Drosophila melanogaster: one gene and its partner. The protein of the gene in region 1 interacts with the protein of each later gene in a pairwise test. Each region holds a gene or a part of one and is shown on either strand. Other genes may lie near its edges. The genes, in order: CG1421 and CG14989.

Region 1 (3,409 bases):
GAAACTATAAAAGTTGAAAAATTTGAGATGCGCATGCCGATTGTAGTGCCGACGAGCACAGCTTTAAAAAATGACTTGCCTTTTTATTTTAAAATTTAAAAATTTCAGCCAAGACAACTAAGAGAACCACTAATAGTAATGAGAAAAAATCACAATCCATCTATTATTCATATATTGTAAATGATCGAGCTTGGAAACAGGAATATTGAACTGTATCATTTACATCAATCAATTATGAATGGTAAGGAATTGAGTAATTAATGGTTACATCTATTATGTCCTTAGAGCATATACTAGACTGTATGCTACAAATAATTATGTTAAGTTCCCTTCAGACCATAAATGCACTTGGATAATATTATATCAAATTTATAATATTCATTGTAAATTAATTTGTTTTATGTATAAGTTAGTTATAGAGGAGACTACGGCTTAGGTCGATCTAAAAATAAGGTAATAAAATACGTACACATATGTTTGCCGTTTAGCTAAATTGGACAGTTTTTGCATAAATTATGTCCCACTTTTCACTTAATATCTATAATATCAAAGACTATTTGCCTTTAATATTCCAGTAAATTTGAAAAAACAAATTAAGATAGGAAAGAAAGTGCAAGCGGCAAGAGATTTTAATCATTAGGCTTACAGGTAGATCACAGTTCGTTAGGGAATAGCTCATTGCATTTTATGAGGTCAAGATAGAGATAAGCCTTTGATCTGGAACGTTTTCAAGATTGCGCTTCACGGTTCGCGGATGATTAACATCTTGGAAATTCGGTCGCAGGCATCTAGGATTATGAAAGCAGTACTGCATACTAAAGGTACGCAGATTCATCAGATCGCACCTGAGCTCGATAGACTCCGGCGGTTCAAAGGGATGCCGCCGCCACTACAGGCAAACAAACAAACAAACAAATTAGGAACTCGTTCGATTGCTAGAATTATGATGGGAACCAATCAGCAATGGCTGATTCGAACGTTCCTCCGTTTGAAGTTCCTTTGACCTGGCCTCGGAAGCAGCCGCCTTTAATCTCCGATCGCGTTAATGGCCCACAATTGGCCTAGCTGAAAGACACTTCCGTGTCGGCCTTTTTGTTGCTCATTGTGGGTGGCAACCACTGCTGCCGAAACCACAATCACGCAATCACAATCTCAACCACTCCACGCACCACACAGCAATTGGCGCCTCCAAGTATAACTTATATGTATTTGTATCAGCTAATTTTTAATATTTTATAGACTCTGGACCTGAAAAACGCTTTGAACTCGCCTTGATTCGGATACCTCCCTGCGCTCCGGACCTGAGATATTTATGTGTTTGGTGGAGTACCTAGCCCATAAATTGCACGAAATTATGCGTAAATAAAGCAAAGCCGGCTGTTCGGGGTCCGCCGGCCGTTTGATGTTGTTCTGTTGTTGTGACTCGGATGGTGGGGTCATGAGGTAAACTAAATCTAAATCATATATTTCCTCAGAAATCGGAAAATACAATTTATAAATAAAGCTCTGAACGGATTTGCCCAACTGAATTGGGTTTGTGTAAAACAATCATCGTTTTAATGGTGGGGGGGGGGGAGGGGGGATTCGTTGAAAATTATGTAACAGGTAGCGTAAAAAAATATATTCCTTATCGGGATCAATAGCCACGTCGATACAGCCATGCCGGTCGTATGAACTTTGACTTTAGTGACGCCTACGATGAGCAATTTTCTTTTAGAGCGTTGCCACGCCCACTCTTACGCCTACCAACCGCCCGAAACTGCCACGCCTGATAATTGTTTTGATATTTTTAACTTTTTTTTTAGTCTTCTAATCCCACTATCTTAGCAACGAGTCGAGAAACTCGAATATAGCGTTATTTCTTGTTTTTTGTCATTTTTATTGATTATTCAATTTAATTTTGATATTTCCCCTTGCACTCCCACTTATATCTTATATGATCGTAATCTGATAGGCGAGAGATTATTTTAAACTTATTATCCCTTAAACTGGTAAAAATCGGGATTTCTTTCTGTCCTTTTTTGTAGTTCATCACATTACCAATGCATTCATTGCCTGTCTTCATCTTTCGTCAAAATTAAACATGACTGTTAGAATAGGCAATCAATTTGTCAGATTGACAGAATAAATTTAGAAATAAGGAAATTAACAGGAAAATCGATAAAACAGAGTACGCAGGGATCTTGTTTTCAGGACAACAAAAAGACCATTGCTTACCAACATATCTTGAAGACCCCATAATGGATGGTCTGTCGCGGAAGGCGTTCCATCAAGTCGTTGGAAACAATTCAGACCATACCATTTTGCAGGATAATAAAAAGAAGTATGGCGAAGATCCCAGACAGTCTTTTTGGGTATCCGTAAGCGACTACGAGTTGGACAGGGCTTACATTGTCTACTGCTTCTTTCTCGATATCGGTGGCATTGTTGCCAAAAGCTTGACGAAAACCAATCGCATGTACCTGAAGTACTTCAGCGTGGAGGATGCCCGAATCGCGCTGAGCTACGATGGCCAAAAAATTGGATATGGCGGGGATATTCGCGTAAAAGTCACAGCTGAGAACCCCGTTTCCGAGAATGCCGTCAGTGAATTTCTGGAGCAATGCTCAGAGGGCAATGGCGATCCCCCTGACAATGAAACTACAGGAATGGCTATTGTCGATGCCGCGGATGAAAGAAACGCGATCATTTCCGATCAACTGCTGATGGGAAACCGTGGAGAAAATAAGTCCAAGGGCACTACCAAAAAAGTCGGTTTTTCCCAGTGGCTTAAAGAAAAACTATCTTATGTGTTCTACTTTTATTAAATTCCAACATTGCAGCTCTTTTCAGGGATTTGTTTGACTAACTGAGGGAGCTGTCTCTTTAGACATCGCTTCAATGTAGTTGCTTTTTTATTTTAATATCTTAATGCTAAACGTTCAAAAATAGCAACATTATCATAGTGGGTAAGAAGTCTTCAAAGCTTTTTCAAGTCGAAAATTTATTAATATGAATTATGCGAGTGCTACATTTATAAAAGATGATTTTTTGTCCTCCTATGTAATTCAAATGGATTGCGGACTGCTGTTTTTGCTGGAGGTTAGGAAAGAAATCAATGAGATCGACTTTTCCCTTTACTCCCACTGTGATCCATACTTATGTATATGTCTTAGCGTATGGCGTGTTTGCTGTGTTTGAATAGTTTTTGCCAGTAAATGTTACACACTTATCAATGCCGATAAATTAAATTCGCATTGTTCAGAAAAACATTTCTGGGATGACCGCAAACTCGGACCCTGGGAGCCATTATAGAATTTTTAATTACAATAAATCAATTTAAATAAAATGTAATTTTTCAATTTTATCAAATTGTCATTATGCGTAATTAATTCCTATGCACAAATGCATTTTAGTATAACAACGCGCA
Region 2 (7,643 bases), on another chromosome or scaffold:
TTCTTCCTAGCAACAACAAAAAACACTGAAAATCACTCGCGAAACGGAGGAGCAACAATTCGCTGATTGAACGGACTGGGAATTACTATTGGATTTGAAATGTATATATATTTTCACAGGTTCACAGGTTTCGGGCAACTTTCACTTTCGGTTTGGGAAACTTAGGGAACTGAGCAGCCTACACTCGCTGACGATCTGCGGAGCTATGAGCAGCAGCATCCGCCTGAGTTGCCTACGAAGCTTTTCGCATCCAAAAAATGGCTGCCCATATACCACTACAAGCGTACCTATGTATATACATACTACTCCTCAATCTCTTGCATAACCTTCAGCGACAACGACAACAACAGTGGGGCTGAGGAAAATGCGGGAAATTCTCCGGGTGACGTCATTGATTTTTCGGAAACCATCTTTGTTAAGGCCATTTTGCGTGGGCGGAGCTTCGGCCATGCGCGCCCCAAAGTATCCAACAGATACACATGAAATATGTGCGCACGCCTGGTGAATGCTAAAGAAATAATAAAACGGGATAAAGGGAAAGGAAAATATAGATTGTGATGGGGCGACCAAATGAAAAGCTAATTAACAAACTAATTTTGCCACTGTTTCTGACATTTACAATGACCCACAACTTTTTATGAGAGTTTCCTGTCGAATGAAACAAAAAAAAATAACCCTATAATTACTTTCATTTCCCGCATATATGTACATATGTGCGCTTAGATATAGAAGCCAAAGCATATAGATTCCTGGTATATAGAACAAAAACGAAATTTGGGTCAAAGCTAGGCCGCCCGCCCACTTGGGCTATGCAAAATAGATATGTATCTCAGAGTGAAATTGCATCATTTCCAATAGAACGCGTTTCGTAGCATACTTTTGAGGGCCAGAGAACATCTATGGCCATGTTATGCAACTTGGGTAAAGAGCCCAGGAGCAGCAGGACCAAAAAGGACGTCCATCAAACTGGAGAAGCTTAAACAACGAGAACCCTAGGAATACTTGCCGCAAAAGAGTTCCACCCACTCCACTTCCATTCTTATCTGACACACGGAGCAGCTGGCGTAGGATGTTACCACACACTTGGCACTTGGCACTTGGTCCTGCTGCTGCTCCAGCTCCTGCTCCCTGGGCAGGATCCAATGCGTCAGCGTATTTTCGTTGCGAGGGCTCTGGCACTTGAAAAGTGTCTTTCGATGTAACTGATTGCAACTTAAGAAGGCCATTACAGTGGCAATAACTCCCTTGCTAGTCCCTGTGATCCATCTTTTTTATTGAATGCCTGCAATATTGGCAAAATGAAGTCGACACTTGTTCAACATGACTTTCAAAACATTCTCATAGGGCGTAGTGCATTACTTTGTAGCACTAGCTAGAAGAAATCCAACGGCAGTTGCAGAAAGTCCATAAAGCCGTAATTGCACAACGAAATCGTTACTTTTGATGTGGCAACAACTGTGTGAAAGGACTTTCTTCGCAGTTTTTTAATTGTTAATTGCTCAATTGCTTTCTTGAAACAATAAAAACATTTTAGAAGACCTTAAGTGACAAATATGGCGCCTAATAGATATGAATTTGCACCCTACGCCTTAACATCTGCGTAACCCTTTAACAAAACCCATCCATCACAAGTGTCAGACAAATATTTCTGATACAAAAACAGCTCATGGTATTTAGAACCACTAAACATGGCGAAATAAAGTCGCCTGCTATCTGAAAAGCACTTCAACGGCATGTGCTACCAATAATAATTAGGCACTCGGTCTGCACTTATCGCAGATATATGGCAAACAGACCAGTCTGAAAAGGAGGGGGGGATCGGGTGTATCTGCGATAGTCTATCCTCTGATTCGCACTTGAATCTATGACACCGGCAGATAAAGCCATCAAAAACATTTATTATTAGTAAGTGGGATTTTCGTTTGGGCCGGTTTGGGCTCAGTTGAACAACTGCTACCATTTGTAGCGGACAGCTTTATATAAATCCCGTCGAGTTAAGGATTTAAGCATTTCGAGCGGAGCAGGTGCCACGAACAATCGGATTTAATTGAGTCAAACTTTTGGAAAAGCACAGTGAGTTGTAACAGGAAACGGAAACAGAAACAGAAACAGTAACAGAAACAGCAGCAGACATGGACAAACAAAAGGATTATGGGTTTAAGCCATTTTAAGAGCGATGTTTAAAATACTCTCAAAAATAATGGTTGCAATACAAGCATGTCGCCTTGCAGTCCCTTTTAAAAGTTATATGTACATTTTTAAGGAATATTTTAGTTAAAAGAATAGTCATATTACTAAAAATAACAAAGCTTTGAAGAACTATTTATTTGATTTTAATCAAACTAGAAAGCTGAAAGGGATTTGTAAAATTATCAAAAAATAAAACTATGCAGTCATTAAATATTTAATACTTCATTATAAACATTCCTTATTATTAATGATAGCAGATAAATAAATTGAGATAGATACTTTGCATCAGTAGAAATAGTTAGACAGGATCGATACCCTTTCATAAGAGCACAACTAGCGAATGGAATTGAACAATGAGATGAGCTCTCGACCAGAAAATAGGATGCTCACCTGGCTGTGATTGCACGTAGCGCAAGTAGGCCCTGTAACCCAGATAGGCGAAAATGTTTGGAGTCAAGTGCCACCCACGGATGCGGATGGAGCTGGGAGCTTGGGTCTGCTATTCTCGGGCGGCTAATTCAGACCGGGCGTTTCTGGCCAGGGCGAAGCGTCCTCTTTGGCACTCGACTCTCAACTGCCAGCCAGAGGCATCAGAAGCACAGTGGGCCAGGGAATGCTCCGCACCCCGGGGGCCATGAACATTTTTCGTTGCCCGTGGAAAACAAATGGGAGTTTGGGAATTTCGACTGTTTAGCCTGTCATTACGCTGACAAAATAAGATTCCAGCAGGTTGGTTAGCTGAGGCATTTATGTGAGGTATTTTCGACGAGAATCCCGTTGCAAAAGCGTTGTCAGGATGCCAGAATGCCAGGATGCCAGGTGGGAGTCTCAGTTGCGTTCGAAAGACAGGCGATTGCATAACCCCTTTCGGTTTGGCAAATCAAGCGAATGATATTCGGATAGCAAATGCTCGGGATAACAATGGTGTAAGGATTAGGCCCCGCAGGCAAGTACCCCAAACGCTGCTTTTTGCTGCCTATTTTTGAGAGCGCGATAATTGCATTTCGAGCACAATTGCTCCTATTGTACGGGGCCAAACAGTCTCCATTTTGGCCCAGTCCTCCCTGGAGGATAATACGCCCCAAACCAGCGTGAAAAACCCATCCCCCAGTTCCGTAATCTACCCATCTCTTTTCAGCCCAGCGATGGGAGAGCGTGTTGAAAAGCGACAGAGAAAAATGGGGGGATGTGGATTACAGCTCGTCATACCATTGGTCACAATCCTCATCCTGGCTGCGCAGGCGCAGGCTGTGACGTCATCGCCCGTCCTGAAGGACGACACTTTGGGGGATGCTGCTCCGACGGCAGCGCATTCAGCAGCCAAAATCCTTGAAGACGTCCAAACCATCAGCGCAGTTCAGGATTGGAGTTTGCTGTGTAAAGAGCTCTGCGGGTAAGTTTCGGATAAACAGCAATCGAAAACTCTAGGAATTACTGAAAGTAAGGTGCCTCGGCGCAAAGTGACTCAAGTGTTTATTGTTGGCAAGTGCAGGTTTCCCCCCAACACAAAAAAAAGTGCAAACTAATAATGATAATAATACGACACATTTACCAACTAAAATGTTGGCCTTGAGAAATCATTTGCAAATCGCGTCGGCCTTTCAAGTGGCTTCCATCGAGGTTTTCCCACAATCGCGTGTGTCAGGGAAATATAATCCGCATTCCTGATGATCGGTGGCTATATCAATGATTCGTGACTCGACTTTTGTGGCGTGTGTGCAGTAGTTTGTCAAGTGCCAAATATGTTAAGTATAAATGGCACTCGAAGTCGCCAGAAGTACTGTGCTCACTTAAAAAATTGAATAGGCTTTAAAAAATAAATTCTAAATGTCGGGTCAAAGCTAATCAAAATTATTTCACAATTTTACGATATATAATTTACAAATATTATTAATTAGAACATTTTGGCTTGCGTTTATATTTAAAATATACTCTGCATTATTTTTTAATTTGGTGTTTAATACTATTTAAAAATGTTTTGAAATAAATATATTTTTTACAAAAAAAAAAAACAGTTTATCAAGTCGAGATTTTCCTAGATCATTTGTGCTATTTAAAACTATGTTATCTGTAAACCTAGTTTCAATAACAATTATGCATATATCATGGTTCTTAACTTGGTAATGCGAGTGTCATATACTGTCATCTTAAATCTTTTTTTTTTTTAATTTACTCTGCATTGCAATTTAATCAGCATTTTATGGTTGATCCTTGCAGAGCTGGCCTGGGCGTTGCTTCAACGCCTGATGTGGCCAAAAACACAATCCTGAGACCGGAGACGGATGTGGCCAAGTGCCGGCAACTGTGTGGACTGCCTAGGGGTAAGTGGAAAATAATATATTGAAACTCTATTCAAAATATTATACTTTAATGATTATTATGGTCGAACTTAAGGTTAATTTGCTTTTTGAAAAATAAACATACTAATCAAATGCACTTATTTACTTCCAGCTAAAGCGGGCGACTTGGTCTGCTCGAGCTTTTGTGGTCAGATGGGTCGCTCCCTGCCCGGATGCAGTCCCTGCCAGCAGGAGGTGCGCAGGATGAGGGTGATGAAGGAGCGGAAGCAGGAGGAGGAGAAGCAGGAGGAGGTTCGAAAGGACGAGGAGAAGGCCAGTGGAGTGCTGGGCGATCCAACACACGGTTCCAGAGCCGCGGAGAATGCCGAACGGAGAGGATCGGTCGAGGAAGCAACAGTGTCCGCAGCTACCGTGGCAGCCGCCTCGGAAACGGACACAACCACTCCGGCACCGGACTGGGACGAAGTGTGCAAGGTGCTCTGCAAGACTGGCGATGGCGGGTCTTTGTGCAACTGTGATTTATCGCCGTTCTTCAGCTGAGCGATCCCCACCTTCCTGAGGGGATCGCTCCCGATGGAGGCGCTAAATCACAAAACCATATATATGGATCGAGAATTATCTGATTATCTGATGTTTTGTTGTTCTTCGTTTTTGAACTTCAGTTAGTGCTATTGTTGTCATGAAAAAGTATCTCCCATATATAATCTATATCGGAAAACGTGTTACGAAAGTTTAGTTAAATACTGTAAAGAGATAAAAACAAAAACTATAGAAAAATCAAAAAAAAAATCAAACAATTCAATATAAATAATACATAGAGAAGAATATACGATGAGGAGGAGGAGCAAGCAAACAAAAAAAATTCCCTATGCGAATCAATTAATTTGTAACTAATTTCAATTACAACTAACTATAGAAAAGCTATAGAGTAAGCAAGGGGGGGGACTTTACCCCCCACACTCGAGAAACAGCAGAATCACGCAGGGCTTCCAGTGCGTCGCCTCGGAGGATGAGGATGCCCTCCCAAAAGGCATCCGAAATCCCCGGGACGGACACAACCCGTATTTAGGTGATTGGTCAAGGAATTGGACTGAGGAGACACAAGAAGAGATATATGAAGATGAACAACCAATTAATATCAATGTACACAACATATCGTGCGGTAAACACTACCCAAAATCAAAAAACAAAAAAAAAAACACCCAATCACATTTATTTGGAATACACCTTGGTTCGATGGAATCAGCATATCAATTTACCACGAGGCAAAAACAAGTTGGTATCTAAAGAATTTCCTTTGTTTTGGCTTACAAGTTATTGGCGAATCTAAAGCATTGAGATATTTCAAATCAGCATCAATTAGGAGTGTCGCAATTAGGCCAAAGTGCCAACCAAGAGTTTAGTGTTGGTTACGGCCCTTAAACGCAAAAGCAACATTTATAAAATATATACTTGTACTTACTAACGAATAACACATGTAATTGGTCTATATATATATCCACAAAATGAGTTGCGATTGCAAATCAGAAACTCAGACGGGCTATACTGGATCTACCAGACCCGTATACATCATATATATATATATATGAATATATATATATACATAAAGCTGTAAACCATAGTTACCATAATATCTAGGTGTCATATTGTTCAGCATAAATAATCGCATATGATGTATTGTATGCATATTATCTGTGTGTTTGGAAGACATTTTTTCGCATTGCATTGAAATGGAAGACAACTTAAATCGCATTCTGGAAGACATGCGTTGCGGCAGCGCCAAAAAGATCGGCCAGCTGCCAAATAGTTTGTAAGATATTCTATATAATAATAATAATAATGAGATTTTCGATTCGAGCTCGAAGATATAGTCAATACAAGCACACGTTGTTGTGGCAAACGCGACGCTGTGACTGACAATAATTAACTATAACTTAGCAGGAGAAGAGCAGGCAAGGAAGTTCGCATACTCAGTGTCTATATATCAGTACTATTGCTAATATTAACCATGCACTACTACTAATCAAGGAAAATGGAAAATAATTAATAAATATTGTATTGCACCAAAGTTATAAGGCAATTTTCAGAGCACATTCATTGATAACCTAATGCGGCTTCAGTATGTATATCGATGTGTAGCAAGTTAATCACTCAGTAATTAATATACGAAATGCACTTTACATTTATGTATATGTATATGTGTTAGGCGTTGCGTTTCTGCCATGAATACAGCGACTAGCGAACCGATCACACGGATTATGCCGGAATAATATCCATAATTCAATAATATATATATACATATATATATATATTTATAACCAACAGACACATCATCATCATCAATTACGAATACCGAGTCGAAAACCGTTTCGAACCGATTATGCCGTTTCGCAGTTTCGTTTCTTTAGTTTTATCCAATGGCCAGGCATTATCTTAGTCGGTAATGTCTGGGGCTATGGTTAAAATAACACAGAAAAATAGATTTAAAGGCAATTTCACAACAGATAACCATAACAGCAACTACACAACCAAATAAAGGCAATTATTATCTTATATACGTTAAATGTTGTAAAGCCCCTCTAAACAAAAAAAAAAACAAGAAAGCCTGTGTTTTATTGGGATGGCTAAGGGGCTCAATAAATATGCAATTCAATTTTTTATTTTATTAATTTTATTACATTTTTTACAAATACCCCGAGTTTTCATTTAATTTGAATAACAAGAACTAACGTAACGTACAATTTGAATACACTGCTTTACCACGTAAGCTTGAGGAACCGTTTCACTGCTTCAACCGTGGCAAGCAGTGCATAACCGCTTGAGCTGCTTTAAACAGTATTTCAAATCAGGGCGCGCTGTCTACATTCTTATCTATATGTGTATAACAAAAAAATTGATTGCTTATTTCTTAGGTACCTACATACATATATTAATTATTTCCCATAGGAGTGCATGCGTATATTTTTCGTAGATATTATTCGCTCTCTTTTAGAAAATATATAAAGCTTAGTATGTATACTATCAACAGTGACTGATAAGCATGATTCCCGTCGAATTTTTAAAAGTGTCGCAGCTTCTGACTTTTAGTCGTTTGGAATTTGTGAGCTCAAGCAAACCATGCTCAAGAACTGGACAATAAATACGTTCCTTTTG

Evidence for each region.
Region 2: the proteins of CG1421 (region 1) and CG14989 interact in a two-hybrid assay, tested with the Drosophila melanogaster proteins (one large-scale study listed by BioGRID).

The regions. Positions count from the first base shown.
Region 1 is NT_033779.5:21,900,910-21,904,318, forward strand, and holds CG1421 (uncharacterized protein), read left to right. Parts: upstream 1-2,083; 5' UTR 2,084-2,240; coding exon 2,241-2,807; 3' UTR 2,808-2,830; downstream 2,831-3,409.
Region 2 is NT_037436.4:4,085,632-4,093,274, forward strand, and holds CG14989 (uncharacterized protein), read left to right. Parts: upstream 1-1,949; 5' UTR 1,950-2,073; intron 2,074-2,580; exon of another isoform or gene 2,581-3,113; intron 3,114-3,328; 5' UTR 3,329-3,335; coding exon 3,336-3,583; intron 3,584-4,407; coding exon 4,408-4,511; intron 4,512-4,641; coding exon 4,642-5,030; 3' UTR 5,031-7,075; downstream 7,076-7,643. Other genes in the region: CG14990 (uncharacterized protein), read left to right, coding at 7,608-7,643.